Linked DNA regions of Macaca fascicularis. The protein of the gene in region 7 purifies or fractionates together with the protein of the main gene of each other region. This does not show direct contact. Links are inferred from orthologs where the notes say so. Each region holds a gene or a part of one and is shown on either strand. Other genes may lie near its edges.

Region 1 (4,024 bases), on a different chromosome or scaffold from region 7:
ATAAAAACAAGTAAAAGGGATCCAAGTCAATGGGAAATAAGGGTAAAGTGAAATTTGGGTAGTATCAGTACACACAGAAGAAGATGTCACCGAACAATTGTTAAATTTGGGCACCATCATTGTTTCAACCTTACTAGCAGCTAAAGTAAAGAGGAAGACAGACCAATTTCACCTTTTCACTATTTGCAAAAAAATAAAAGTCTAGCATTTGCTCATAAGAAAAACAACTTCTTCTAGGTTCTCATGAATGGCACATTATGGTACATAGTAAAAAACGTCCTCCACAATATGGTTAGTTTTAGTCAATACAAAGACAAGTTTCATACAGTTCTGCTTTTTGAAGTGTTTGTTAAATAAATATTTAGTTTTTGTTAAACAGAATAGAACACCTATAAATCCAACTAAGAGCAAAGGAAATGTGGGCTAACATGCCCTTTCTTTGTCCTGTTGGATCTTGGCATAAAATTTAGGTGTAAGCAATAAATTGACAATGTACAAAGTAATTTCTTATATCACACTTAACATGTTGAAACCAGGGACCTCTTTCCAAAAACAAAGAGCAGATTTGATTAAAGGCACCTTGGCCTCCTTAACGCTAGTGGATACACAAAATGATTTATGAAGGCTTATTATATTCAAGACTTTTCATTCAGAAATAATGTACTAACATCAGCAAAGTTAACTAGTCAATAGGACATGAAAATAAACATTGTAGGTATATACACAATTACCATTAAAATGATATTCTACCCAAACTAATATTGAAAGATATTACTGTGCTAAAACCATCCTACTGTGAAATGAAATTGGTAGACCAAAACAGGCCTGATCATCTACTCAAACAAGTTGGGGGAACCCCAAAGCTCAAGCTTTGCCTGGTGGCTCTATGAAGAAATCAGGGCACAGTGTGAACCATTATAAGCCCATTACACAGTAAATAAGTCAATTAATCTGCGATTTTTTTCATTATTATTATTCTCTTCCTATCCATGGAATATATTCAGGGGCCAATACATATCTTTAAATGTTGCTTTTTAATACATTGTATCAGGGGAAAAAAGTCTAAATATTACCTTCTGTAGAAGCTGCATCAATCATTACTCTTTGCATGAGTACTGGTTCCAATCCAAAGTCGAAAACTATGGTTTGGCGAAAAGTTCCAAATATTTCTGTGTTAAATGCTATCCCGACTTTATACACATAATGATCTAATCCATTTTGGGCCATCTTTCCTCCTATCCATTCTTGACAGTTTTCTGGGACTTCTTGTGATACCTGGGTAGTACTATCTCCGGCAGATATTGCAATGATACTAAAATGAGGACGATGAGCATCATAAAGCAATGCTACACGATACAGCATTCTTGCAGGCTACAAGGAAGTTAAAATAATTCATTGAGTACAAAGGGGTGAAAAATCCAATTGTAATTGGGCTCTTCAATGAAAATATCTCCATAAGGGACTTTTACTTCCCCAAGCTTCTACGATACTATGTTAAAACACAAATTGTGCTTATAAGCCATTTAAGATAAAAATCAGAAGGGTTTTTGAAAAATCAGTTGTTAAAATTATATATTTATGCTATATCGTTAGCCTCCCTTCTCTTTCTATGACATGTTCATTTTTCATTGTGGCAAAAGCTATCACCCTATATACCCATCAACCTTCAACTTTCCATACTCTTTGCCTACAAAAGTTTCATGTAGCCTCAAGTAGGAAGCCTTCATAAGAGGGCAGTTACCTCTGAAAGCAATGGATTGGGTTCAAGGCTGAAGCTAACTGTTCTTAGATTTTTCATCCCCAGATACAGAAAGTACAGCGGAAGAAATGCCACGAAAAAGACAAAAACTTTTCCACTGAGCATACTCATAGAAACTGTTTATTTTGCTTCAGTCTTAAACTTTGACTACTATAATTTAAGATGGGAAGCACTGCAGAAAGTGCCCCATATTGAAAACCTATTATCACAGAATGTGTGACTTCATCATACCAAATATAAAAACAAGTTGTTATGGTTTAAAAATCTTAGAACTGCTATATTAAACAATTTTTAAGTAGTTAATTATAAGCCATGAACCCCACCCTATGTCCCAAGTTTAGAAGACAATATGTCAAAGATCTCTTTACCAAATAAATAAATATGATAGCATCCTAAATATCTACAAAGATTTCATCTAAAAGTATTTTTTAAATTGTACTTTTAATAATCAAAATACAGAAATACACTTTAGAACCTATATATAATATGTTTAGATTAAAATATTTTCAATATTCTTTTAACACAGAGATTCAAAGGTCACAAGAGTTGACAAAATTAAACACAACTTACATGCTTTAACTAGCACAAAATTCATACCTTACAGGTGAGAGCAAAGGTCCATGTCTGGTGGGATTTTTTAGTGCTGACAGTAACTGACAGGTCAGGATTGTGCTCTACCTTTACTCCTTCTATACATTCACTAAGCTGAAAACAGAAAGCAATTTACGTTATGTTTTTACTGCTAAGGGCACAAACAAAATCTTTTGCATGGAAAATAAATGTTAACAGTTAAGATGATGATGGAACTGTTTACAGAGTAAAGTATTTTATACCTTCATTTTCAGTAATTTTGATAAGAACAAAATATAGTAAAGCTAAAATGAGAGGGAAGAAAATTAATCACCACCACAAAATGGCACTCAAAAACTGCCTGAATGAAGGTAATTAATATGGTACAGGCAAATCTTCAAGCAAACGGCTTAGTTCTGCTCTTCATTTTAACAAATGGGTCTACTACAGCTACTAAAAACATCATTCTATCAGAATCAAGTTCTTTGCAAAGAAGATAAGGAAATAAACCAAAATAGAGCACATAACAAAGTCAAGACTCAAGTTCACTGTTTAAGACAAACAAAAAACAATGTAGCTTATTTTCCTCACCACTTTCTCAGGAGACAATGAATTCATCCACTTTTCTATCAACGTTTCCATGTAACTGCCTGAGAGCTGTTTATTCTCATTTTGCTGTTTCAATTTTATCAGCCGTGAAGCATATCTTTTCTGCCATTCTGCTAGTTCTTCCTGGGAATGTGCTGAAGTACACTGGGCACCATACCTACATATTCCTTGCTCTAAAAATCTAAGTAGAATAGGAAAGACTGTTTTATCATATACTTTGTTGAACCATTTAAAAATAAACTCCCAGCATTTGCCCTCTGATTCTTCAATAAGAAAAACAAAACTTCATGTGCTGAAAGGCCACATTTATCATACTGTCTTATATAAAGGAGGGAGAAGAGGTTTAGAGAACATTTACAACAGTTAATCAAAACATCAACTCCCCATATTATTCACTGACTTTCTCTGGAATTAGGGGATCCTAAGGCATAGGTATTCACGTTGGCCCTCCAAAAGAGGCACTGAAAAATAGCTTCTTTGGTCATATAAGGACTCTATTAGACAATTCCTCTTAGAATAACTGGGTTTTGTTTTTGTTTTCGTTTTTTTGGAGGGCTTTTTTGAGACAGAGTCTCGCTCTGTCACCCAGGCTAGAGTGCAATGGCGTAATCTCAACTCACTGCAACCTCTGCCTCTCAGGTTCAAGCAATTCTCTGCCTCAGCCTCCCAAGGAGCTGGGATTACAGGCACCTGCCACCACGCCTGGCTAGTTTTTGTATTTTTAGTAGAGACGGGGTTTCATCATCTTGGTCAGGCTGGTCTTGAACTCCTGATTTATTGATCCACCCACCTCAGCCTCCCAAAGCACTGGGATAATAGGTGTGAGCCACCATGCCCAGCCAGAGTAGGATTTTTTAAAGCAACACTGACATCAAGTGGATTTGCTGCTCACACACAGGTATGCCCTACTTCCCAAAATGATAAGGACCTTAAAAAATTTTTCTTTTTTTTTTTTTTTTGAGACAGAGTCTCGCTCTGTCGCCCAGGCTGGGGTGCAGTGGCCGGATCTCAGCTCACTGCAAGCTCTGCCTCCCGGGTTTAGGCCATTCTCCTGCCTCAGCCTCCCCAGTAGCTGGGATTACAGGC
Region 2 (4,024 bases), on a different chromosome or scaffold from region 7:
TGTTCTGGTTTCACACTGATCTCCTCTATTTCTTACCATAATTGGCTTGCCCTGAAATGTTTTAACTTCTTCTCTTAAGTATTTAAAAGCCTGTTAACAAAGCACAAGAAAACTTTCATTAGCATCCAAACATTTCAGTAAAGTCATCTTTATTATGTTGAGAGTTTAGTATTAAACTATAAAAACAAAATTATGTAGGTGATTCCACTGTGCAGGTGGACAGGGAATGAAAAAGTAAAAATATAAGGCCTTCTCAACCACAGTTCATATTTATTGTAGAAAAGCCACCATGGATTACTGCAGAAAAAATGCCTTAAGATTGAAAACAGACCCAAAATATCCCCAGAAACCAATTTAAAAATGATCAGACAACTTTCTACTAAACTGTTTTAAAAAACAAAAATCTGTGAGTGATTTTTAAACACTCTTATCATAGATATATTTGTGTTTTAAAGGATTATTTCTCTTTAAGACATGTTAACAATTAAGAATAAAATCATCAAGTCAAAATTCCAAGAATTTTATTTATTGCAGACCTATTATGTACTAAAAATACCACTGGGTACATAGTTCTCAATCCCTATGTTAATTTTAAAACTGTTACGTTAACATTCTTGTCGACCAGAAAACTTCCTAAATCAAAACTGAAAAACTTTAGGAAGATGATCAAAAAGGACATCAATTGAGCAAAAGCAAAAAGGTAAATCAAGGTACTCACTAATCTTGATAAACATCAGTGTAAACACACATTTTCTCAATTAAAATATACCACTACTTATTTTGCCACTAGGATGGACCTGTATCAGAAAACTGTTTTCTTCTTACCTGTTGTGCATCTGTGTCTGACTGGAAAGTGATATACCAGTTGCTATTGTGTGCAAATTCACAGCTTATCACTTTGGGGCAGTTTTCACTTTTGAACAAAGCTTTCACTTCCTAAAAAGAAAAAGAAAATTAGTTAACTCTAAAAAATACATCAATAAATGGCATTTTTTGCTTGTTTATTTACTAGTAATGTTAAGCATATCTTCATGTTTTTGGTCCTTTCTATCACTTCACTTGTTAACTTTTGCCCATTTTTCTACTGAGGATAGGCTGTGTTCCAAAACAAATAGAGTTAATAGGAGATATATTTGAGTCTGGTCTCAAACTCCTGGATGCAAGCGATCCTTCCACCTGAGCACCCCAAAGTGGTGAGATTATAGGCACGAGCCACTCCATTTGGCCAGGAGATGTATTTTGTACATGATTTTGGGATGATTTATTTTACGATCAGCAAAGCATAAGTATTTCACTTCCACTGGCAAGCTAAACGCTCCTTATAGTGAAATCTCCCCTGTCCTTTTCCTGTCTGGCCTGCCACAGGACAAGTGATATCCTTCATTAACATTTTCTAGGCAATAAAAATTTTCATGCATTCTCATTTAATCCAGATGCTTTGCTTACAACATACATGTGAGTTAATGTGCAAACATATCTTCCTTTTTCCATAATTAGTATAAATGTAAACAGAAACTCTGACAGCTACATGGATTCAGAAAAAGGGTGACTACAAAACTTAAAATGGTAAATCTGTTAATGGATTGAAAGAAGATTAAAAAAAAAAGTTAAGTGAACATTAAGTATACTTAAGAAGTAACAGGCCAGGCGCGATGGCTCAGGCCTGTCATCCCAGCAATTTAGGAGGCCGAGGCGGGCGGATCACAAGGTCAGGAGATCGAGACCATCCTGGCTAACACGGTGAAACCCCCGTCTCTACTAAAAATACAAAAAATTAGCCAGGCGTGGTGGCGGGCGCCTGTAGTCCCAGCTACTCGGGAGGCTGAGGCAGGAGAATGGTGTGAACCCGGGAGGCAGAGCTTGCAGTGAGCCAAGATCACGCCACTGCACTCCAGCCTGGGCGACAGAGCAAGACTCTGTCTCAAAAAAAAAAAAAAAAAAAAAGGTAACAGAAGGAAAGAAAATATCTACTGAAATAGCAAAGGTCAAATGCAGCCCGAGAGCTCAGTGGCTCACTTCTGTAATCTCAGCACTTTGGGAGACTGAGGCAGGAGAATTGCTTGAGTTCAGGACGAGCCTAGACAACATAGCCAGACACTGTCTTTACCAAAAAAAAAAGTAAAAATTGGCTGGGCATGGTGGCTGGCTCCTGTAGTCACAGCTACTTGGGAGGCTGAGGTAGGAGGACTGCTTGAGCCAAGGAGTTTGAGGCTGCAATGAACTATGATCGTACCACTTGTACTACACCCTTAGTGACACGGCAAGACCCTGTCACAGAAAACCATTGATTGAGGAAAAACTTTTTTTAACATGAAAAAAAAATTTAAAAGCAAAAAACAAAAAACTTGAAAACCCAACAAAACATTTGGTGCCTTGTTTTACTGTTTTTCATGTGTATGAACTCCTTATGTATTCAGAATATGAATTATAATAACCGTAAAAAAGATAATGAAATAGGACACAATGGCTCACGGCTGTAATGCCAACACTTTGGGAGGCCAAGGTGCACAGACTGCTTGAGCCCAGGGCCTTGAGAACAGCCTGGGTAACATGGCAAAACCCCATCTCTACAAAAAAGTACAAAAATTAGCCAGGAATGGCGGCATGCGCCAGTAGTCCCAACCACTCAGGAGGCTGAGGTGAGAGGATCGCTTGAGCCCATGAGGTCAAGGCTACAGTAAGCTGTGACTGTGCCACTGCACTTCACCCTGGGTGACAGACTGAAACCCTGTCTCAAAAAATAAAATAAAATAAAATAAAATTCTATTCTAAATAGCTAATCAATTACAATGTCAGTTACTAACTAATCCTCATCTTCTTTAATATATATCACCTTATCATGGCAACTTAATATGAAGCTCTGTGACACAGTGATTATGAAACATGGACTTTAGAATCAGAGAGATTATGTTCAAACCCAAACTCCTGTCATTTAAGAGCCCTTATGTCCTTGAGCAAACTATGCAACCAGCCTAACTATCAGTTACTTCATCAGTAAAACAGATAATAAAACCTTTGGCTTTAAATAACTGCAAAGTAATAACTGGTAGAATCTAACTGTCAAATTGATTACAATGTTTCATTCAAATATTATTTTATTCTGGTATGTGTACCATACCATCTTTATGACTGCAACTTTGCTTTATATAATATTTTGCTGAACAATAGGGTTAGTCCTGCCGCCTTAATCCCTTTTTTTTTTTTGAGACAGAGTCTCGTTCTGTAGCCCAGGCTGGAGTGCAGTGGCGCGATCTCAGCTCACTACAAGCTCCCAGGTTCACACCATTCTCCAGCCTCGGCCTCCCAAGTAGCTGGAACTATAGGGGCCCACCACCACGCCCAGCTAATTTTTTGATTTTTAGTAGAGACGGGGTTTCACCATGTTAGCCAGGATGGTCTCGATCTCCCAACCTTGTGATCCACCCGCCTCAGCCTCCCAAAGTGCTGCGATTACAGGTGTGAGCCACTGCACCCAGCCTTGCCTCCTGAATCCTTAATCAAAATCTGGTTATTCATTCTTACAGATGAATTCTCAAGTTCCCAAAATAGCCTATTTATATATTAGTTGCCACTGAATCAATCTAGTAAATTCAGAATGTTTCACTGCAACACTTTGTCTACCCTTCTAAGAAAACAGAATTATATCTTTTCCTTCCCCTATACCATACTAGTACTTCAGAATTAATGAAACAAATTAATATTTAACCTTTTCACAGTAACTGATGAAGGCACTGGCTTACGCTTTGCTTGTGTACCTCTTTCAATTTCTTTTCTTTGCCACGGAAAGCAGAAGAACCTCTTTCAATTTAAACAGAGAACATTTAGCGTTAACAATTATTAATAATTTACCTCTATTGGTGTTGTTTCAGGAATCTCTCTAAGAATTACAATACAACGCTTATGACTTGGTCTCACTTTCTCACCCTTCTCATCAACTTGCACCATGGGAGAAGCTGAAATTTAAAAGAAAGGGTATCATTCAAAAGTGACAAATAATGATATTATTAATGTTATTAAAAAACTA
Region 3 (4,024 bases), on a different chromosome or scaffold from region 7:
AGCATGTTTAATCCAGGTTCTTGTGCCAGCAGGACTCAAGGTTCCTTTGCTGTGTGACCTTGGGCCCATTCCTCCCAGTCACTGGGCCTCTCTCCGAGGGTTAGGGCTCAGGCCCACCTCTGTGGTCCTCCTGGCTCAAGCCATCTGCATGTGGCACTTCATGAGTCGACCTGGAGCACCCAGGGAGGAAGTGAGGCCCTTCCCAGGGTCATCACCACTCACCAAAGCCAGAAATGAGTTTTGCAGCCACCAGAATGGCTGACGCTGTGCATTCACCCAGGTTTCGCTCAAGTCCTCACTTTGTGGCTGTGCTCACACCCTGGCTTCTCACCCCTCTCCCCTCTCACCAGCTCAAAGCCCACGCCTCCCCCTTCCAGACGGCCTGACCTCCAGCCTCCAGGCCTCTGTCCCTGCAGTGCCTTCCACCCAGGAGGCCTCTCTGCTGTCCTCCATCAGCACTCTGGAGGGTGGAGAGTGGAGGCAGTGGGACTGAGCGGAGATGCGGCTCAGATGAAACCACCTTGAAAACAGCACACCGTGATCCCCGCTAGCACCATGGGCTTACGGGCTTACAAGTGCTGTCCCACCTCCACCCTGGCCTCTGGTCCCTCTGTGTGAGCAGAAAGCAACCGGTGGACAAGGGGCCTGGGTTTTGTCAGGGCTGCACGGTGCTCATGCTTTGCTGTTTCTCCAGGGTTAGACAGGAAATCACTAACAGGCTCAGACCATGCCAGAACTAAGCTTCCCAGCACCTCCTCCCACGAGCCAGGCTTCTCTCTCCATGGCTAACAGCTGGTGTGTGGACAAGCACTGGGCCATGGCCTCCACAGCCTCCCATAGGTCCCACTGTCACCAGCCCCATTCATAGTCAGGAAGACTGAGACTCCGAGTGAGGCCACCGGGCCCAGCCTACACAGCAGGTCTGTGCAATGCCCAGCCCTGTGCGGATCTTGGAATCAGGTGCTATGGTTTACACGGTCTGGGGCACAGCACTTGGGGGGCCACATCCCAACTCGGTGCCAGCCACCGCTGGGGGGCTCCAGATTTACAACAGGGCCCCGTCGTCCAGCAGAGGCAGCTAAAGGCAAAGGGACCAACAGAGCCCAGAGCTGCCACACGGGGTGGGGGATGGATGCCTCTCCCGAGGGCAGGGGCCAGGCCTTACCCATCCACACCTCGCCAAAGCAGCCCTGGCCCAGCTTGACCTCCAGCCGCAGTGACTCCCGAGGGATCTCCCAGGCATCCTTGGCCAGGCCCTGAGTCTGAGGCTTGGATGTGGGGCACACAGTGGTGAGGCGGTGGCACAGGCCATCGGCGTGTTCTGAGGAGGAGGCAAGAGGAGCAGTTAGGGGGGGCTTCTGCCCTGGGGCCTCCCTGCCCCTCAGTGTGTGTCACCCTACATGCCAGATGCACGCAGATTTCAGGAGACACCCAGGGCGCCCTCAAAGCCAGGCATCTACATCTATGTGCACACAGTCCCACCCCCACACAGGCCCACAGTGCTTTATGCATCTGCTGAGTCAGTCATTCAGCAGACAGTAGGGGGTGCCAGGGACCCTGCGGGGAACACGTCCAGGGAATCTACCCTCAGGAACTCGGAGTCCAGGGAGGAGCCTCAATTCCCTAATCACCTCCCAGGACCACAGACATGAATGTGACTGGAGGAGAGCTGTTCGCGCAACAGCAGGAGGGTCCTGGGAGGCTTCCTGGAGGAAGCAGCAACTGAGCTTGGATGTGCAGGAGGGTGAGGGGTTAAGCAGGGAAGAGCCCTCCAGGCAGGGGCACAGCCAGAGCAAAGGCTCTGAGGAAAGAATAGCTGCAGGGCTGAAGAAGCGGAGGCAAAAGGAGCTGCAGGGAGCAGGTGGGGAAGGGCGGCACCAGGCGGAGGTGGGGAGGCAGCTGGGATTAGACCACTTGGGGGCTGGTGGGGGTCTTTATCCCAAGATTCCAAGACAGCCCCTGGAGAGTTCTGATCTGAGGGAACGGGGTTCAGCATGAGCCACACAGCGGTGGCCGAAGAGACAAGAGCGTGGTGGGTGATCCCAGAGGAAGTCAGGAGGCCGAGCTGAGAGGAGGAGGAGACTTGGGGTGGGAAGTGGACCAACACCTGCACACAGAGGCCACGCGTGCCACAGACACATGGGCACACAGGTACCCACAGGCACCCACAGGCCCCGACACTGCAGTCAGCTCCGGACGCCCAGGTGGGTGGGCTACAGCACTGCGCCCACGCCCGAGCCCTCACCCAGCACGCAAGCCCCGCGAGCTCCCTCTGCCGCTCTCTCCGTCTCTGCTGCAATCGATCTGGCCGCCCCCTCCTCCTCTCCCAGCAACCGGTTCAGACCGGTCCTAGGGCTACATAGACAAATGACACCAGCCTCCGTCCCCTCCCTTCCAGCTCACTCTTGGGCTCCTCAGGGCAGCCCCCTCCATACCAGCCAGCTGCAGAGCAGGAGCAGGGAGAGACGGGGACTGGGAGGAGCGGGTCGGGGGAAAGAAGAGGAAGAAGAAGGAGACGGAGGAAAGTAGGGAAAACGGAGGAGAGAGGAAGGGAAGGGGGAGGGAGAAAGTGGGGAGGGGAGCAGGAAACCTGGCATCACAGGATAACAGAAGACCCCACCCTTCTAGGCTCCAAAGCCCCTCCCCAGGGTCTGCAGCTGAGGCTCTGCCCGCCCGCCCTCCGAGGCTGGCTCACTGGAGTAGTAGGCCACCAGCTGCTGCAGGCTGTTGAACTGGGTGCGGGAGGTGATGTAGAAGCCGCCGCTGTCCAGCTTGCGGATCTTGTAGTGCTTCACGTTGAGGCCCTTGGCGTTGTCGAAGTCGGACACTGAGAGGCAGTAGGCACCTGCAGGGCACAGAGGGGAGCCGTGACCGCCACGCCCTCTCTCCCACAGGCCGCAGCACTCAGCGCTGCTCTGGACACCGTTCTGTGCCTGCCTGACATTGGAGGGAAGGGAGGCCCAGGCGGGGCCCGCGGCCCACCCTGTCTCTCAACAGCCAGCCCCGGGGCAGCCACAGAGGTAGGGCCAAGGGACCCAAGAGACACTTGATTGGAACGTCCTGCCACGCACCCTTGGCCCCAGCAAGACCCCCATATCTCAGGTGGGCATCCTAGCTATGGAACTTGGAGGGGTTACTGGCTCTCTCTGGGCCTCAGTTTCCTCCTCTGCACAATGCGGGTGCTCCCAGGGCTGCTGGGGAGATTCCATGCCACCACATATAAAAGGGCCAGGCACACAGCAGGCACTCAATAACTGTTTGCTGGGAGCCTGTGAGTGGCTCCCTGTTGCTGTGTGGCCCTGGCCTAACTGCTTTCCCTCTCTGGATCGGCTCACGGGGGCACTGTCCGTGTCCCCCACCCACCTCCTTTCTAAAGACAGGCCCAGGGTCAGGCGGGAGGGGGTGGTTGGCAGAGGCTGGCTGTCGTGGGCAGGAGACCACTGGCTGGGTGTGGCCTGAAGGCTGCCTGGGTCAAGCAGGGCCAGCCCTGGTGCCTCCCCTCTTTCTCTTGAGCCTAGAAAAGCTTTTGGCCAGAAAAGTTTCCTCCCATCCAGCAGGCCCAGGTAGGACCAGAGGCCAAGAGACGCCCAAATGGCATCAGGGAACAAGGCTGAGCCCTGGAGGCAAGGGCAGAGGCTCCAGCGGCCAGGAACGGCCTTCCCAGGAGCCTGGCCAGGCAGTGCATAGGCATGGGGGAAGCCGAGCCCTCCTAGCCCACAGACCTCCCCTTTGCAATCTTCAGGAGGAGGTTACGATCCCAGTGTACAGAAGAAATGAGGTCCAGAGAGGGGAGTGGCCAGCCTGGGGTCACCCGGCAAGCCAGAGACAGGGCTGGGGCTCAAACCCACACCCGAGGACTCAAAACCTGCCTTGGGCGACCGTGATTTTCTACGGACGGCCTGGCTGGTGCATGTGGAAGCCACAGGCCTGAGACTGAAGCCAACCCTGGCCATACGTGCATACACATACAGGCATGCCCGTGCCCAGTGGCCACATGCTCATACAGGTACACGCTCCCCAGGCC
Region 4 (4,024 bases), on a different chromosome or scaffold from region 7:
CTGTTACCCAGTTCCAAAGTTGCTTCCACATTTTCAGGTATCTTTTCAGCAGCACCCCACTCTACTGGTACCAGTTTACTTTATTAGTCCATTTTCATGCTGCTGGTAAAGACATACCCAAGATGAGGCAATTTACAAAAGAAAGAGGTTTATTGGACTTACAACTCCACGTGGCTGGGGAGGCCTCATAGTCATGGCAGAAGGTGAAAGGCACATCTCACATGGTGGCAGACAAGAGAGCTTGTACAGAGAAACTCCAGTTGTTTAAACCGTCAGATCTTGTGAGACTATCACGAGAACAGCACAGGAAAGACGTGCCCCCATGATTCAATTACCTCCTACCACGTTCCTCCCACAAAACATGGGAATCATGGGAGTTACGATTCAAGATGAGATTTGAATGGGGACACAGCCAGACCATATCAGATAGTTTGAAAGTAATAGTTTCTGCCTTTTAGCAGCAGTCTTTAGGGATTTGCTCTGTTGTATTAACCAGAAGAACCTGGGAGCACTGATTCCACACCAGGTCTGGGGGCAGGCAGAGGTGGAGACCAGAGCTTTCCTGGAGATTGTCAGGCCTCTCACCCCCGTCTCTCCTGGCACAGATGGGAAAACACGGGTCTCCGGGGCTGGCGGGAAGATCCAAGAAGTCAGAGTCACCACGGGGAAGTGGGAAGGGGGTCTGCAGGAACTGTGAGGTTTTGGTTTACGAAAGAAAGTATGGACCTCCCAGGCTGAGAAAGGCTGTCCTAGATCATGTGGTGATGGTCCGTGATGGCCCGTGCTGTCCCACACTTCAGCACGGTAAGAGGTGGGGAGGCCGCACTATCCACTGGCACCGGGGCCTTGTCAACCGGGTTCTCCCCTCTTGTTGCAGGTTCTGCCTGGAGCACCGACGCCTCAGGAAGAACCAGCAGCTGGCTCGTTCTTCGAAACCTCACTCCCCAGGTGCAGTACGGTGCCCCTGTGTCGCTGAGCATGATCCAAGGAGGGTTCCCTCTTGGCCCCCGATGCAGATGAGGCTGTCTGGTGGGGCGGGATAGTCGGGGGTTCTTGGTCAGGGTCCAGAGGTGATGCTGCACGGGAGGAGATGAGCAAGTGCCAGGCTTGGCTCCAGCAGCAGCAGCAGATGGGGTCCAGGGGTCTCTTTTAACCATGTTCTTGGTGAATTGTTTGTTTACCCACTAGAGGCTGGAAAAGTGTGCTCTGTAAATAGAATTGTTTATCTTACAACTACCCATTCAAGAGTGGTTGGGCCTGGCCGGTTGCAGTAGCTCACGCCTGTAATCCCAGCACTTTGGGAGGTCGAGGCCAGGGATCACCTGAGCCCAAGATTTGGAGACCAGGCTGGGCAACATAGCAAGACCCCATGTGTGTATTTTTATAACATTTTTTAAAAGAGTGGTTTGGCCACGTCAGACTGTGGGGCTAGCCAGTCCCTTCTTGGGACCCAGGCCACACCCACCTACACATCTCCCAAGTCTGTTGTCAGCAGCTAGACCCAGGTGCCTTTTGCAAACCAGGGGCTCTGTGTGATGTGCTCTGGTGAAAGGAGAGCTGAACTCAAAGTGGGGTTTTTCTCCTTCCTCTGATTAGCCTAACTCATAAAATATAACTGAAACATCCAAGATTTTAGTTACACGTTTGGCCACAGAGATACAGAATGTGAACATTGTAAAATCACATATTATTAAAGCCTTTTAAAGAAAAACATTTTCCTAGTGTTTAGTGTATCCAGTTTCATGTTTTTTCTTTGGAAGGCTGTAGTGAAAGAAATCAGAAGAAAGCTCATTCATGCCCCTGTGCTTCCTCTGTCAGATTGATGGTTCTACACTGCGGACATTGTGTTTGCAACATGGGCCTCTCATCACATTCCACCTGAATCTGACTCAAGGCAATGCCGTGGTCCGGTATAGCTCCAAGGAGGAGGCTGCCAAGGCCCAGAAGTCTCTGCACATGTATGTTTCCTCACAGCCACCTCAGCGCTCCAAGTAGCTCCACATCCCCCAGAGCATTAGGTTAGGGGTGTTGCAGGGGGGTCCTGAGCCGCCATAGCAGCATCCCACAGGCTGGCCACCCTCCCGCTTCTGGAGGCCGGAGGTCTTGACACCCAAGATGAAGGTGTGGGCAGGGCTGGTTTCTCCTGAGGCCTCTCTCCTTGGCTATAGACAGCTGCCCTCTCCCTCTGTTCTTACATGGTCGTCTCTTTGTGCATGTTGGTGCCCTGATATAAGGACACCAGTCATGTTGGACTAGGGCCCACCCATGTGACCTCATCTAACTAACTTAATTACCTCTTTAAAGACTCCATCTCCAAACACAGTTACATGGGGAGGTACTGGGGGTTAGGACTTCAGCAAAAGAATTGGGGGAAGGCGACACAGGTCAGTTCTTCACAGGTATCTTGAGACTTATTGTTTTTTTCTGCTGCTGAGTTGCTGTGTCTACTCCCCTCTGCCTGTGACACATTCCTACACAGGGCCCAGCAGCGGTCCTCACAGCCAACCCTTCACCCTGACGAAAGGTTGCTTTTGATAGAAGTATAAGTAGACCTGATCAGTAACATCACTTGAGACATGGAACCTAGAAATTAGTCATTCCTGTTTTTAGCCCAGGATGCAAATGACAGTGACCCTAAATGAGCCCACATTTAATGGTGTGTTCATGCACTTGAAGATGTACTCTCTGTACCAGTACGGTGTTGCTGCTAGAAGTCTGAACTGAGCAAAACCTTCACAGTCTGGGTTTGGAAATAGCAGTGGCAAAACAGAAGCCACACGATGGCTTCCAGGTAGCCTTTCCCAATACGAAGACAGAAAGCCGGTGCCACGAACTTAGCAGGACTTGGGGTGGCCCTGCTCACGTGCCCCATCTTGCTGTTGCAGGTGCGTCCTGGGAAACACTACCATCCTGGCTGAGTTCGCTGGCGAAGAAGAAGTGAATCGCTTCTTAGCCCAAGGCCAGGCGCTGCCACCCACCTCCAGCTGGCAGTCCAGTAGCGCGTCCAGCCAGCCGCGGCTCAGCGCAGCGGGCAGCTCCCATGGCCTGGTGCGCAGCGACGCTGGCCACTGGAATGCCCCATGCCTGGGTGGCAAGGGGAGCAGTGAGCTGCTGTGGGGCGGGGTGCCCCAGTACTCCAGCAGCCTGTGGGGCCCGCCCAGCGCTGACGATAGCAGGGTGATCGGCAGCCCCACCCCTCTGACCACCCTGCTGCCTGGGGACCTGCTCAGCGGGGAGTCCCTGTAGGAGCTGCCATCATCAGCACCAGGAGAGCCGACCCCTCCCGGGACCCCTCCCAGATGGGCGGCCCCACAGACCCGCTGGAACCCAGCAGCGGCCACCCTTTTGAGTACCTCTGTCCAGGACTGAAGACGAACCTTGGCCACAGTCCTTGCGAACTGTTCGCAAAACAGTGCGGGCTGCGGTGGGTCAGCGTCACATGCTAATGACAGGATGTTCCTCGTAGCTTTTTATTTTGTGTGTCTTATGTTTGTATAGTGTGTTGTCATTTTGATTTTTTTTTTTTAAAGTATAAAAGCTGCTTAGAATAGTTCTATCATGAAGGGCACTTTTCAGATTGTGGGCTGGAAAGGGTTATTTTATCTGTGGGGGAGGGAGGGAGACGTGAAGCCTATTTAAAATGAGCCTGTGACGATTATGCACATTACCAGAGGCGGCCGGTAATCAGGGCAGAGTCTGGTGTGGACCGCCGGGCGCAGAGCGGCTCCACGGTAGGAGCTGAGCGGAAGGCGTGGGCTGCGATCTGCTCTCTGTTCCCCTGGATCCGCCTATGCACATTACCCTTGTTTCATTACTTTTTCATGTCATTTTTTTATCCCAAAAAATATTTTTTAAAAGTTAAAAAAAGACATATCAAACATGCAAATACTTGAATCCAGCAGGCCAATAGTGAAATGTGAACACTTTCTAACTCTACACTTCCAGGCTGACATCAGTACACAGAAACAGGCTCTAGGGAAAATTTCTAAGTTCATAGCCTCCATGTGTGTGAGTGTGTGCGTGT
Region 5 (4,659 bases), on a different chromosome or scaffold from region 7:
CTACTACCTTCGTTTACATCAGGTCCCCTCTTACCATTCTACCCGATTGTTTATGAGACAACCACTTCTTATCTCGACAATTCACAACTCTTTTATTAGCCATCCTAAAAAAATTTATTATTGACATCAATTAGCCTGAGTCATGAAATCGGACCACATTAAGGGCGACACATGGTCCAATTACTGTTTGTAAAAGTCCACGTATTTCAAATTCCTCTCTCCTGCCATTGCTGGGCTGTTTCCCTCTTTGAGGACCTGGTCTCCGCAGCATTTATTCATTAGATGGCAGTCCTAGGGAAGTCTCGCTTTGGGGAACCTCTCCTCCTGCACATTCAAGAAAACCACCGCGGAGAGTTAGGGTCGGTACTGGTTTCTAGTCACTTACGTAGCAAACGAAGCAAGAGGAACGTGCCCGGGAGGACTCAAGACAGGTGCGGTTGGGTTTTCGCAGTAGCCGCTGATCCCGAGTGCATGCCGCCTGTTCCCGGGTCGGGACCGCAGCCAAGGGAGGCTTCCCGGCCCCAGCCTCCACCCCCTTCTCGGGGCCCCGGACACGCCCCCCAGCTTCGGAGCCCCGCAGCGTGCACGCGCCCCGGCCGCTCCCCACAGCCGCCCACGTGGTGGAGCCCTGAGCCGCGCGAGGCCGCTGAGAGCGCTCGGGGCGGGCCGCTGGTCCGGGAGGCCCCGCCAGCGCGACCCAGCCGAGTCGGTCCCCAGCCCGGGCCCCCACATTTCCTCCCCCGGAGGGAGGGAGGCGACTCTCCGCGTGCTGCCCTCCCCGGCGCCCGCCGCGCCCTCTGGCGGCCGCCGCGGGGACGCGCCCTGGGCACGCGGGGCCGCCTGTCTGAGCCCCCCTTCCGGGGCGCGGGGCCCGACCGGGGGGCTGCGGGGTCCTGTCTCCTCGCGCCACTCCGGGTCGAGCCACGCGGGCCGCGCCCTTCCCCCTCCGCTCCCCGCAACTCCGGGCTCCCCGGTCTCAACGCCGCGGGTGCCCCAGCCTGGCGTGAAAGTGCCCAGCGTAGTAGCCTGGGGGGGTCTTCTTTTTCCCAGGTGCGCCCCTTCCGCCACGTTCGGGCTTTCCAGTACATAGCGAAAAAAATGCCGCATGCACGCACTTATTTATTTTGCAACAGCTGCAAGGAACAATGAAGCTTTTCAAGAACCAGGGAAACGCGCTTTCCAGCCGCGCTGTTGTTGTTTTCAATGAACCTCTCCCAGCACCGCACTCCCCGCCCACCCCTCCCCTCGCCTGCCCACCCCGCCCCTCGCCTGCCTACCCCTCCCCTTCCTAACCTTTCCCTGCCTACCCACCCCTGCCCCGCCGAGACCGGGTCGGCGGCGGGGGCATTGTTTTTGGAGTCGGGCGGGAGGGTAGGGCGCGTGCGGGGTGGCCGGCGCAGTGGTGCACTGGTGGGGGCGGGAGCGGGTGGGCACGCGCGCGTGTCTCTGTGCGCGCGCGGGAGTCGGCGGGGCGGGACATGGGGGCGGCGCTTGCAGTCTCGCGCCCCACGCCTGGGCTCCGCTCCGCACGTCTCGGGGATCCCGGGCTCCGGTTTTTGGCTCGTGCCGGCCTGGGCCGGGCCCTCGGCGCGCCGCTGCTGCGGCGGTGGCCGCTCGAGTGTGCGAGCGGGCGCGTGTGCGCGGACCCGGGCGAGCGCGCGCGCGCGAGCCCCCAGTGTGTGGCGGCGGCGGCGGCGGCGGCGCGGCGAGGCTGGGGCTCTTGTTTACCAGCATTAACTCCGCTGAGCGGAAAAAAAAAGGGAAAAAACCCGAGGAGGAGCGAGCGCACCAGGCGAACTCAAGAGAGGCGGGAGAGCGAGAGGGACGCCGCCAGCGAGCCTGCCCGCGGCCGGCGCTCGCAGACCCTCGGCCCCGCTCCCCGGACCCCCCCCGCGCCCTCCACGCCCCTCCCGCGCGGGGGCAGCTCCACGGCGCGCCTCGCCTCGGCTGTGACCTTCAGCGAGCCGGAGCCCCCGCGCAGAGCCGGCGGCGGCGGGCGGGGGCCGGGCGGGGGCAGCGCGGGGCGGGCGGCGGCGCAGAGCCGGGCGGCGCGGCGGGAGTGCTGAGCGCGGCGCGGCCGGCCCGCCGCTTTGTGTGTGTCCTGGATTTGGGAAGGAGCTCGCGGCGGCGGCGGCGCTGAGGGAGGAGGCGGCGGCGAGCGGAGCCCGGAGGAGGAGGAGGAGGGGGAGCCGCTCATTCATTTGACTCCGGGTTTCTGCCCCTCGCCGGCCTCGCCTGCGACCCGGACTTGGGGCGATCTTGCGAACTGCGTCGCGCCCTCCCGCGGCGGAGGCTCGGGCGTCCGGCCACCTCCCGCGCGGCAAGGGCCGGGCTTGTTTTTCCTCGCCGAGGCAGATTTGGGCTTTGCCCCCTTTCTTTGCAGTTTTCCCCCTTTCCTGCCTCTCCGGGTTTGAAAATGGAGGCCGACGACGCCGACAGCCCGCCCCGGCGCGCCTCGAGTTGCCGACTCCGCCGAGCCCTGGGCCGCTGCTGCCGGCGCTGAGGGGCCGCCCCGTCCGCGCACCCGGAGGGCCCCGGCGGCACCGCCTTCGGAGTATTGTTTCCTTCGTCCTTGTTTTTGGAGGGGGAGCGAAGACTGAGTTTGAGACTTGTTTCCTTTCCTTTCTTTTTTTTTCTTTTTCTTTTCTTTTCTTTTTTTTTTTTTTTTTGAGAAAGGGGAATTTCGTCCCAAATAAAAGGAATGAAGTCTGGCTCTGGAGAAGGGTCCCCGACCTCGCTGTGGGGGCTCCTGTTTCTCTCCGCCGCGCTCTCGCTCTGGCCGACGAGTGGAGAAAGTGAGTATGTGCCCGCCGCCCGCGGCCACTGCGGGAACTTTTCCTTCGAGGGGCTGCGCCCTGTTTGCGAAACCCGAGTTGCCACCGTCGCAGCTGTCGGGCCCCCGGGCTCGGGAGCGGCGGGGCGGGGCGCGGGGTGGCTCTGCCGGGAGGGAGGCTGCGGCGGACCTGGGATCCGGGCTCGTTCGTCTGGAGCCCAGCGGGCCCTGGCTCCGCACATCCCCCGTGCTGGAAGGGCCTGAGGGGCTTTCTCTCTAGTCGTGCCGACAGTCCTGTCCCCCGGCTAGGCTCGAGGACTCGGTAGGGAAGTTGGTGCCGGGGCGGGCACCAAGGGTTCCCAGGCCCCGCGACCCGCACCTCGCCCCTCCGGAGCGCACGAGCCTCTCCGCACATAGCGCTGATCCCATGCGGCGCGAAGGCAGCGGGGACTGCACCCTGGGCCGCACCGCGTCTCCGCTGCTGGGGCTGATCCGGCAGTGGGGAGCAGGCATCCGCCCGGCCCGCGGGGTGCGAGTTGCCCTTGAGGGGGGAGGTGCCCTGCGGAGAGGCCCCGAAGCCCCAGGACACGTCTCCAAGCGCCTGGCGCTGCCTCCCGTCGCCCAACATGCATTTCCCCTCGGGCTCCTAGGGTTCCTGGCCTTGCCCGTTACTTTGGCCCGCTCCTCGTTGGGTTACCTGCCCCTGGCGTCCCGGGGCTGGGCGGTGGGGTGAGGGGAAGCGCTCTCTGGGCAGCTCCCCGGGGAGTGCGAGGCCGGGAGTCTTCCTCAGCTTGTCTTTTACGGGGAGCGCCACTGGGCCCCCAGTTCAGAGGGCTCTGGGATGGCCTCTCAGTTTCTCCCGGGCAGGGGCATGGAGGGGTGCTAGGGCCGCATCCGAATGTGCGTTGGTGGGTGTGTGGTCGGAGCCGACGTGCATTCCGACACACGTGCTCGCAGCGCGGGGTGTAGTCGCCGCCTCACGGGGACACCGAGACGCCCGTCCCTGGCGAGAGGTGTCCTACGCTGTGGGTTTCAGGAGCGCCAGGGTCTGCGGCGGTGGGGGAAGGGTGTTGTGTTTTGCGAGCGCGGAGCCCTGGCCTTGGTTTTGTTGTGGCCGGCGTCGTGTCGCCCTCCCTTCTGCCGCCGCGCACTTCCTTTGTACGCAGTTAATAAGCAGTATCGTTCCATACTCGCTATGTTTTGCAACCTGATAGCTTTTGTTTTGGTGGTGTCGGGTAGGGGTAGGTAGGGAAGCGCGGGGATGCAGGGAGTGGGAACTCCCCCCAGTGTGTACAGCCACAGGAGGTGGGGGGTTTATTCTCAAAAAATTGAAAGTGTGGCTTACTGGTACATTCAAGATAGTGGGGTAATTTGAACACGATTAAAAGTTTAAATGTCGCAGAACTGGGATCGGGAACGGTGAGGGCGTGTTGGTGAGTAATGGTAGCCGAGGGTATGCAGGTGGTGCCGATTAACTTCGAAAAAAATCACGACTGAGCCTTCAAGAGTGAGGGGGAGAAGTAGGAGGCAGCGGAGGTTGTCTGGCCCCATCACTGGGGCAATTCAGAAAGGCTGTTTCTATAAACAAATCCTTAAACGTCTCTTAAGAAATGAGTGCGCGACAGAACGAGAGCAGATCGTGGTTCGCGTGTTTACTGCCGAGTGGGACGCGGACTGGGGCCGGACCTTGCACAGATCTGGGCTCTCATGCTCTTTGTTTTCTAAACTTTAAGCGGACTCGATTGGGCGAAAGCCTTCCGGCTCCCTTTACTAAGTCGTTTAGGTGGTGTTTGAGGGGGACAAAGGAGGGTTTTTTATCTTTAAATGATAAGTACGGTTTAGAAGACACGGGAGAAATAATCCGTTTTATTATGGTGTGCAGTTAA
Region 6 (4,024 bases), on a different chromosome or scaffold from region 7:
AAGGAGGCCAGACAGGCTGAGGAAAGAAGAGCAAGCACCTGAAAGCCCCTTCTGAAGCCTTCCGGGGCCGTACGAGGGAGTCACCTGCCTGCAGGGTGGAGGGAACACCCATACATGGCTTTGGTGAGTGGCCACTGGGGGCTGAGAACCCGTCCCCGAGCACCCAAGTGCCTACCAGGTCCTCAATGATCTCCTGAATGCGTTTCTTGGCTGCCTCCACACAGTCCTTGGCGCCCTTGAGGGTGACTTTGTCGCTCTGTGTGCCAGAGCGTGGGAAGCTGACCATCACCCCGCCATACTCTTCAGCAATCTCCCGCAAGACCTGGCCTCTCCGGATGACAAAGTGGCGGTGGTGCTTGGGGTCCACCAGCATGGAGTCTTCCACCACATTATCCTGCAGTGTTAAGAAGAGATGGAAGATAAGCCACCCCACCACGGCCCCAGCAGAGTCGGCCGCCGAGGCCCGCTCCCCACCACGGCCCCGGCAGAGTTGGCCGCCAAGGCCCGCTCCCCACCACGGCCCCGGCAGAGTCGGCCGCCGAGGCCCGCTCCCCACCACGGCCCCGGCAGAGTCGGCCACCGAGGCCCGCTCCCCACCACGGCCCCGGCAGAGTCGGCTGCCACGGCCCGCTCCCTACCAGGTTTTGGATCAAGGCCTCCAGCTCCTTCTGTGCCTCTCGAACGGCGTCCTCCTTTCCAATGATGGTGATTAGGTCCTGGTCCTTGTCCTCAGCCGCGGGGAAGATGACGCGTGCTCCTGTGCTGTCACGCACCTTGCGAATTTTGCCGCCCCCCTTGCCGATGAGGAATTTGTGGTATTCTGGCTTGGCACGGATGTCAACAGTGAAACTCTTGGTTTGCTGCAGAAACCAATCCCGCTCTGTTAGCCTGACACCACATGCCTGGACCACAGTGAGGAAGACAAGAGGGCCTGAAGGACAGCAAGGTCAGGCTCCCCTTACATTGTCACCAGTGTCCTGATGTTGCACCAATACCCCCAAAATGGGGCCAGCACACCTCACTGAATAAACAGATGAATACCCAGACAGACCGCACACATACTTCTCTTCCACAACAATCAGATGCTGGTGGTAATGAACACACAGGCTTAGAACCCTGGTCCTGCCACTGACAAGCACTGACCGAACTTCTCCAAGCCATTTTTGATCTGCACAGGGGGAGAAGGGAGCAGCGCGCTGCACGATGTGTTGGTAGAGTGCACGTCCTGGGGAGCATGGGGTGTGCCCAGCAGAGCAGGAAGCAAGCTGCCCAAGAGGCTTGCCCCATGCTCCCACTTTTCTACCTGCTTCCAGACCAAGCGCGCACAAATCTGGGCCAGGCTTCCTGTCCTCCCACGAGTGCTACAGATCAGCCCCCACAAAACCAGCTACTCCCCAAGCTCAAGCTCAGAGGGACACAAGCCAACCAAGGCTATAGGTAGAGACCAGCCCTCAGAGGCCTCATGTAGCACAACACCCTTGTGTGGCAACAAGAAATGAGGGTCCTCGAAAGGCCCTGGACACTGTACTTGTGGACACCAGTGCCTTTGGCAGACTCATGCAGGGGAACACAGAGAAGTGTGCTGCTTGCTCTACGTGACTCAGATCCACAAGGATAGCTCTTGCCTTTCTCTGGACCCAAGACCTGGCCCGCAAGCAAAAATACCAAAGAAAAATGTGCTAGCATAAAAATACTAAATAACAACTTTGCTATCTTTTAAGGGCAGGTTTCACCAAATACCACCTAGAGACTCTGCTACTTTTCAAAGACACCCACGAATAGCGCATTAGTCAAAAATCAGGCAATGAATTAGGCAAATCCAATCCAGCAATATGGTAAAAAACAAACCACCAAACCAAGTAGGGATTACCCAGAAATGCAAGGCTGGTTAAACATAAAGACAAAAAAAATCAACCTATACAATCTTAACAACAACAACAACAACAACAAAAAAAGACAAGAAATATGAGGCTCCAGATTAGAGAGAAACACAACTCCACAGACCACGTGATTGTTACATATAAAATAAGAATTCACAAAAAAGTGACTGGCACTAACATGCATGAGCTTCATTTAGCAGTCTCATGAAAGTCCACATACAAAAATCACAAGTACTTCCACGTGCTAACAACTGGAAATGGAAAAAAAGTGCCATTTACAATAGCGCTAAAAGAATGACAGCAGTTAGATCTGCTAAGTCGAACATAAAAATGTGCAGGTTCTGTATGCTAAAAATTATAAAGCACCAATAAAGAATCACAGACCTAAAAAAAAAATGGAGAAATGACTGAGTCAAGACTGCCGAGCTGTCAGTCCTCACCAGCCTCATCTTTTGATTTAACACAACCCCAATCAAAGCATGAAAATGCTTTTTTCCTACAAACTGACAGGCTAATTCACCAAGGGATGTAGAGCAGCCAGTTGAGAGGGCTTACACTGTTGATTTCTAGACTTCCCATAAGTCTGGTGTCACCAGAAGAGCCCGGAAACATATCCACAGATGGGTTTTGACACAGGGACAACAGCAATTCAATGGGCAATCTTTAGAGGTGATGAAAATGAATTTTGATTATTGTGGTCACATGTCTGCATGTTAAGTAAAACTCAGCTATACCTGAAGAATGGTCAATTTTACTGTAAATCATACTTAAAAGACAAACGCACCCCAAAGCCAATAAGCCAAAGAGCACCGTTTACATATTGTATACATGAGCATCCGGACCTGGAAAGGCCCTCCAGTGACAGCAAAACCAAGAGGCATAACAAGTATATTACAGAGCTGTTTTCTGACCTGCCACAAAGGAAGGGCATTTAAGGCTTTCCACAGTGAGAAGAGAAGACAAAACACTGTAGTGAGGACCAGGCTTCCTGCCAAGAGTCACGCTCCCTCCCCATGCTCACCTTCTCCTCCGCCAGATGCAGGAGCTGCTTCTTGGCCTTCTCCACATCCGAGGAAGGGCCCCTGATAACAACGGTGTCGCTTCCTGAACCTTCCACGGGAAAGTGAATGTGGACCCCGCCGCACTCCTCCATGATGGAGCGGATCAGACGGCCCTTGGTGCCGATGAGGGAGTTGTGCAGCTTGGCAGGGATGGAGACCTCTACCTCGGCTATGTTGGCCTGAAACCAAACACACAACAGGAGGAGGAAGTCACTTTCTGTGGCAAAAAGGGCAGAGGAAAAGATAAACTATCATCTTTGGTGGTGATGAACACACAGGCTTAGAACCCTGGTGCTGCCACTTACAAAGCACTGACCAAACTTCTCCAAGCCATTTTTCATCTGCACAGGGAGAGGAGGGAGCAACGCGCTGGATAATGTGTTGGCAGAGTGCACGTCCTGGGGAGAGTGGGGTGCGCCCAGCAGAGCAGACGCACTGGGAGGTGTTTAACTCAACAGGACCCAGCGTCCTCGTGGACGTGTGTTGGGTTGGAGGGCAGGAGCGTGGTAATTTCAGACCACACATAATGCTCTTCTTCAGTCAACTCTCCGGCTCTGCCAGAGGTGGGTCCATATGCCTATGGATGAACTTTTCCTATTAAAACCAAAGGTTCTGCTTTCAGCCAAGATGCAATACCAGGGACTGGACTGAACTTACTGCCTAATGGTGATTTCCACAACCCTGGAGACAGGAAACAAGGTGAGCCCTACAACTGCCCCAAGTTGCTGCTACAGTACAGAAAGGTGAGGAAACGGAACCATCCAAGATAGCAAGAACAGGAGGTCAGAGCCCAAAGAGACTGGCATCGAGAACCTCCGAGATCTGGAGACCAGCCACTCACACATTGACACACGTGAGGAAATCACCTTGGGCCCGGGAAAGAATCCCCAGAAGGATCACAGGAAACAGTGCCTGCAGCTCAGCTGGGCCTGGTCCAGAGCCGTCCTCAGCAGGTTCAGCTTTCTGGGACGTGGAGTATAGTACCCAGAAGGACCTTACCTCAACAGTGAAAATATTTGGGCCTGAACTAAATACTGCTCTGATCCTCCCTAATAAAGCTTAAAAGCAAGTCCTAAAAGGAGC
Region 7 (4,586 bases):
GCATGCTGTAGTCCCAGCTACTCGAGAAGCTGAGGCAAGAGAATGGCATGAACCTGGGAGGCGGAGGTTGCAGTGGGCCAAGATCGCACACTGCACTCCAGCCTGGGCAACAGGGTGAGACTCCATCTCAAAATAAATAAAAATTTTTATGGATGGGGTCTCACTGTGTTGGCCAGGCTGCTCTCCTGTCCTCAAGCAATCCTCCCACCTTGGCCTACCAGAGCATGAGCCCAGCCAAGACTTTAAAAAGGCAGAGAGCCGGGCACGGTGGCTCACGCCCGTAATCCCAGCACTTTGGAAGGCTGAGGCGGGCAGATCACCTGACGTTGGGAGTTCGAGACCAGCCTGACCAACATGGAGAAACCCCATCTCTACTAAAAATACAAAACCAGGCGTGGTGGCGCATGCCTGTAATCCCAGCTACTTGGGAAGCTGAGGTAGAATTGCTTGAACTCGGGAGGCGGAGGTTGTGGTCAGCTGCGGTCACGTCATTGCACCCCAGCCTGGGCAATGAGCAAAACTGTCTTTAAAAAAAAAAAAAAAAAAAGGGTAAAGATATGCAGGCCATGGTGGCTCACGCCTGTAATCCCAGCACTTTGGGAGGCTGAGGCGGGCAGACTGCCTAAGCTCAGTTCGAGACCACCCTGGTGGTGCGCACCTGTAGCACCAGCTACTGTGGAGACTGAGGCACCAGAATCACCTGAGCCTGGGAGGCAGAGGTTGCAGTAAGCTGACACAGCGCCACTGCACTTCAGCCTGGGCGACAGAGTGAGACTGTCTCAAAAAAAAAAAAAAAAAAAAAAAAAAAAAAGTAAAGGTTAAGAGAGTGGGAGAGATCCTTGGAGATGTGCTCTCTGACCATGGCCTCACTTTACCTGGACAGTGTATTTGCACACACCCAGGGTATTCCATAGCTTGATGGTTTTATCTCGAGATCCAGAGACAATCTGCCGGTTGTCAGAGGAGAAGGCCACACTCAGCACATCCTTGGTATGGCCCACAAATCGCCTCGTGGTGGTGCCCCTAAGAGGGAGGACTTTGTCATTCTCAGACTTAACAAACATTCTCATTCAAGGGTCAGACTGATTCCTGGGCCTTGTCTCTGTCTCATTGCATTACTCACACATATATGACAGAGAATCCCTTCAGAATTGCAGGACATGTCCTCACTCCCACATGGGGATTGGCTGACAATGTCATCTGTCATCACCAGGACCCTCTAATTCCACCTGCCAATCACCTCAGCTTTCAAGGTAAAACATGTTCAAACTGCTGCCTACTCAAAACTGTCGCACCTGGTAGAAATGTTCAACCACACTCCTCAGCAATCCTGAGTAACTAATTCAAAGCGAGGGAGGCCAAACATCTTCTGTAGGTGCAGTCTGCTTTCCAGTTCCCAAATGGACTGGATCTCCCCTGGGAAACCAGCCAATTGCATCCACCACATTTCTGCCCAGATTTTTTCCCAAGGCCCCAGAGCTAAGTGAGCAGCTACTTGCGTTGTGAGATCCCAGAGGCGCAGGGTTCCATCCCAGGAGCCTGAGAGGGCAAACTGGCCATCTGAGGAGATAACCACATCACTAACAAAGTGGGAGTGACCCCGCAGAGCACGCTGTGGAATTCCATAGTTGGTCTCATCCCTGGTCAGTTTCCACATGATGATGGTCTTATCTAAAAGCGGCCAAACAGAAGAAAAACCAGTGAGGAACCCGCAGCCAGTTTGTTAACACACTGGATAATTCACTAAGTGTCAAGGTCATGAGTGGGTTAACAACTAAGGATGCTTAAGGAGGGATGGAACAACAGACTACAAGAGCAGTTACAGGCCAGGACTGAGTGGCTCTATTCCAGACTAAAAACGCACGCAGAGCTAAACTGTACCGTGATAACTCTTTTTTTTTTTTTTTTGAGATGGAGTCTCACTCTGTCACCCAGGCTGGAGTGCAATGGCATGATCTCGGCTCACTGCAACCTCCACCTCCCGTGTTCAAGCAATTCTCCTGCCTCAGCCTCCCTAGTAGCTGGAATTACAGGCCGCCCCCAGCACGCCTGGCTAACTTTTTTTTTTTTTTTTTAAAAACTAGAGATGGGGTTTCACCATTGGCCAGGCTAGTTTCGAACTCCTGACCTAAGGTGATCCGCCCGCCTCTGCCTCCCAAAGTGCTGGGATTATAGCCGTGAGCCACCGTGCCCGGTCTGTATCCTGAGAACTTAATTTAGGTGCCAGAAATTACAGACACCCTTTCCTGAAACTCAGACGAACTCAACAGCCACCACGTATCTTCTCTGCAACCGAATGCACAGCAGTTCGTGGCTGTAGAGTAGCTGGGGCCTCCCATGCCTCCCTCTGAGGGCCGACAGAAATGTTATAATGAATGCTGGAAAAGCCACTTTAGGCGCTACAGGATCGGATGCTTTTACTGAAACCTGTCCCACTCAACAATTTTACGATTAACAGCCAGACACGATTCAAGAGTCACACAATTCTTAACAGTGTAGGAGCAAAGGGGAAGCACAACAAGTGTCCAAACGCAGTCAGGCACACAGGGATAGGGACGGGGAGGGGAGACCCAGGGGCAGAAAAAGTAGGACGAGACTTGAGCCACGAGGTCCTCTGGAGTCCACCCGCCTCCCCACGAGCCTTGGGCCGGGCGGCAGCTCAGAAACAGCCTCTGGATTTCAGCACCGACACTCAGATGGCATGTTGGGGTCATCACCGCCCCGCCCGGGCCGTAGGCCCCCGACCACACTACGAAGGGGAAGGCAGAAGATGTTTTAAAAGTTTCCAGCTCTCCAACCCTAACAGCCACGAGCCGCTCTACGTCTAGGTCCTCATCTGCAATGTGGCTCGCCCGGGCTGAGGCCTAGGCTCGCGTCCGCACGCCCCAAATCACAGTGAGGCAGAAAAGTTTGTCAGTCCCCGACAGCGCGCGCGCCACCGGCCTGCCCGAACCACGCGGAATCCCCCAGCCCTGCAATCTCGGGTCCTGAAATCTACCTTAGTCCGTACCTCGAGAGGCGGACAGGATCATGTCCGGGAACTGCGGGGTAGTAGCGATCTGGGTTACCCAGCCGTTGTGGCCCTTGAGGGTGCCACGAAGGGTCATCTGCTCAGTCATGGCGGCGGCGAGCGCGTGTGTCGCTGCAGCGACGAGGATGGCACTGGATGGCTCAGAGAAACGAGCAACACAGCCGCTACCGCCGCCGCCTTGCAGTGAAAGAGAGAAGCCCTCTGCCGGAACCGGAAATACCCACTCGACCAAGTAAAATGGCGAGCCCCATGATACACTTCTGCTCAAGATGGCGGCGCCATGTAATGCAAAAGGCAAAGGGAAATTGCACGGCATCACAGTCCCCACTTCCGTACAACATAATCTGACAGCGCTTTATAAATACATTCTGAAACAAGCACATTCAAGTGTTTAAAAAGGCTTCTCAGGGATGATGTAGAGCGAGAAGCGAAAGAGGTGAAGTGTACGGCACATTCCCATGAGGACTCCCTGGCGGCTTCCCCGCCCCTATGTGGCGTAGCTCGAGCTCCGCCTGTTCCACTTGGTGCGGGGAGGGTTGACGGGGCAACCACAGGAGAGCTTAATTTTCAGTTCACTATCGTGGGTAACGATGGGCAATTTAAAAAAGTATGGCATTAAAATTTTAAAAATAAACTTTAAAACTGTGCTTCCGCGGGACCGTCCTCCCTCAAGAGGTTTTTGTTCTGATGCACACCAACTCCGGAAGGACTTAGTCCAGGCTGGACTAAGGCAGGAGAGGGTTACTCTGGATGTACTAAAAATTGGTCTCTTTTTGCCGGGCGCAGTGGCTCGTGCCTGTAATCCTTCCACTTTGGGAGGCCGAGGGGGTGGATCACTTGAGGTCAGGAGTTCGAGACTAGCCTGGCCAACATAATGCAACCTCTTTCCAATAAATAAATAAATAAATAAATAAATAAATAAATAAATAAAATTAGCCAGGTGTGGTGGCGGGTGCCTGTAATCCCAGCTACTCGGGAGGCTGAGGCAGGAGAATCCCTTGAACCTGGGAGGCGGAAGTTGCAGTGAATCGAGATCCCGCCACTGCACTCCAGCCTGGGCAGTAGAGCGAGACTCCGACTCAAATAAATACATACATACATACAATAAAATAATAAGGTGAAAATTGCCCTGTGTGTTGCTAGACTGCCAATCCATTCCTGCCTAGGTCAGAACACGGGAAGCTCTCGCAGAAACGGAAACGCCCAAAGGAGGACCTTAAAGTTCTGACTTCTGGGGACATCCACTGGAAAGCTCTCTCTGGGCCCAGTCACTGCACACAAAAGCCCAGGCGTCTGGGGGTCCAGTTGCACCCTGAAGGACGTGCCCAGACAGGGAAGCGGTGGAATACGGATACCTAGCTGTCCTTCTGCCTTCCACTCTACCTCAGGAATTTAAACAAGTAATGACTCTCATTCTCTCACATCTGACTATAAGAGACAGTATTGGGCACCGTGTCTCTTCAAGTAGTTTTAAACAGGGGGACATATCAGGATGATAGCAGCCACCAACATCTATGCAAAATAAAGATGTCACATTTCTATTTGTGACATCTAT

Evidence for each region.
Region 1: the proteins of RACK1 (region 7) and HELZ purify together in Homo sapiens (affinity purification with mass spectrometry; 3 studies listed by BioGRID and IntAct, counting the BioPlex papers as one, with this or other methods). This does not show direct contact. The link is inferred for Macaca fascicularis from reciprocal best matches to the Homo sapiens genes RACK1 and HELZ.
Region 2: the proteins of RACK1 (region 7) and LARP4 purify together in Homo sapiens (affinity purification with mass spectrometry; 3 studies listed by BioGRID and IntAct, counting the BioPlex papers as one, with this or other methods). This does not show direct contact. The link is inferred for Macaca fascicularis from reciprocal best matches to the Homo sapiens genes RACK1 and LARP4.
Region 3: the proteins of RACK1 (region 7) and SRC purify together in Homo sapiens (affinity purification with western blotting; 4 studies listed by BioGRID, with this or other methods). This does not show direct contact. The link is inferred for Macaca fascicularis from reciprocal best matches to the Homo sapiens genes RACK1 and SRC.
Region 4: the proteins of RACK1 (region 7) and TNRC6C purify together in Homo sapiens (affinity purification with mass spectrometry; 3 studies listed by BioGRID and IntAct, counting the BioPlex papers as one, with this or other methods). This does not show direct contact. The link is inferred for Macaca fascicularis from reciprocal best matches to the Homo sapiens genes RACK1 and TNRC6C.
Region 5: the proteins of RACK1 (region 7) and IGF1R purify together in Homo sapiens (affinity purification with western blotting; 4 studies listed by BioGRID, with this or other methods). This does not show direct contact. The link is inferred for Macaca fascicularis from reciprocal best matches to the Homo sapiens genes RACK1 and IGF1R.
Region 6: the proteins of RACK1 (region 7) and HDLBP purify together in Homo sapiens (affinity purification with mass spectrometry; 3 studies listed by BioGRID and IntAct, with this or other methods). This does not show direct contact. The link is inferred for Macaca fascicularis from reciprocal best matches to the Homo sapiens genes RACK1 and HDLBP.

What each region holds. Positions count from the first base shown.
Region 1 is NC_088390.1:73,622,265-73,626,288, forward strand, and holds part of HELZ (probable helicase with zinc finger domain), read right to left. Parts: intron 3,120-4,024; coding exon 2,921-3,119; intron 2,465-2,920; coding exon 2,357-2,464; intron 1,372-2,356; coding exon 1,074-1,371; intron 1-1,073. UniProt on the Homo sapiens protein: May act as a helicase that plays a role in RNA metabolism in multiple tissues and organs within the developing embryo.
Region 2 is NC_088385.1:57,286,181-57,290,204, reverse strand, and holds part of LARP4 (la-related protein 4), read right to left. Parts: intron 3,954-4,024; coding exon 3,850-3,953; intron 937-3,849; coding exon 826-936; intron 91-825; coding exon 37-90; intron 1-36. UniProt on the Homo sapiens protein: RNA binding protein that binds to the poly-A tract of mRNA molecules. Associates with the 40S ribosomal subunit and with polysomes. Plays a role in the regulation of mRNA translation.
Region 3 is NC_088384.1:93,506,292-93,510,315, reverse strand, and holds part of SRC (proto-oncogene tyrosine-protein kinase Src), read right to left. Parts: intron 2,846-4,024; coding exon 2,696-2,845; intron 1,322-2,695; coding exon 1,166-1,321; intron 1-1,165. UniProt on the Homo sapiens protein: Non-receptor protein tyrosine kinase which is activated following engagement of many different classes of cellular receptors including immune response receptors, integrins and other adhesion receptors, receptor protein tyrosine kinases, G protein-coupled receptors as well as cytokine receptors.
Region 4 is NC_088390.1:84,529,449-84,533,472, forward strand, and holds part of TNRC6C (trinucleotide repeat-containing gene 6C protein), read left to right. Parts: intron 1-877; coding exon 878-948; intron 949-1,818; coding exon 1,819-1,958; intron 1,959-2,885; coding exon 2,886-3,246; 3' UTR 3,247-4,024. UniProt on the Homo sapiens protein: Plays a role in RNA-mediated gene silencing by micro-RNAs (miRNAs). Required for miRNA-dependent translational repression of complementary mRNAs by argonaute family proteins.
Region 5 is NC_088381.1:83,518,039-83,522,697, forward strand, and holds the start of IGF1R (insulin-like growth factor 1 receptor), read left to right. Parts: upstream 1-1,681; 5' UTR 1,682-2,701; coding exon 2,702-2,795; intron 2,796-3,968; exon of another isoform or gene 3,969-4,206; intron 4,207-4,659. Other genes in the region: uncharacterized protein, read right to left, coding at 279-324, 413-1,107. UniProt on the Homo sapiens protein: Receptor tyrosine kinase which mediates actions of insulin-like growth factor 1 (IGF1). Binds IGF1 with high affinity and IGF2 and insulin (INS) with a lower affinity. The activated IGF1R is involved in cell growth and survival control.
Region 6 is NC_088386.1:137,179,405-137,183,428, forward strand, and holds part of HDLBP (vigilin), read right to left. Parts: intron 3,121-4,024; coding exon 2,902-3,120; intron 861-2,901; coding exon 639-860; intron 395-638; coding exon 176-394; intron 1-175. UniProt on the Homo sapiens protein: Appears to play a role in cell sterol metabolism. It may function to protect cells from over-accumulation of cholesterol.
Region 7 is NC_088380.1:188,336,940-188,341,525, forward strand, and holds the start of RACK1 (small ribosomal subunit protein RACK1), read right to left. Parts: upstream 3,224-4,586; 5' UTR 3,120-3,223; coding exon 3,011-3,119; exon of another isoform or gene 2,999-3,010; intron 2,724-2,998; exon of another isoform or gene 2,656-2,723; intron 1,672-2,655; coding exon 1,500-1,671; intron 1,218-1,499; exon of another isoform or gene 1,139-1,217; intron 1,024-1,138; coding exon 876-1,023; intron 1-875. UniProt on the Homo sapiens protein: Scaffolding protein involved in the recruitment, assembly and/or regulation of a variety of signaling molecules. Interacts with a wide variety of proteins and plays a role in many cellular processes.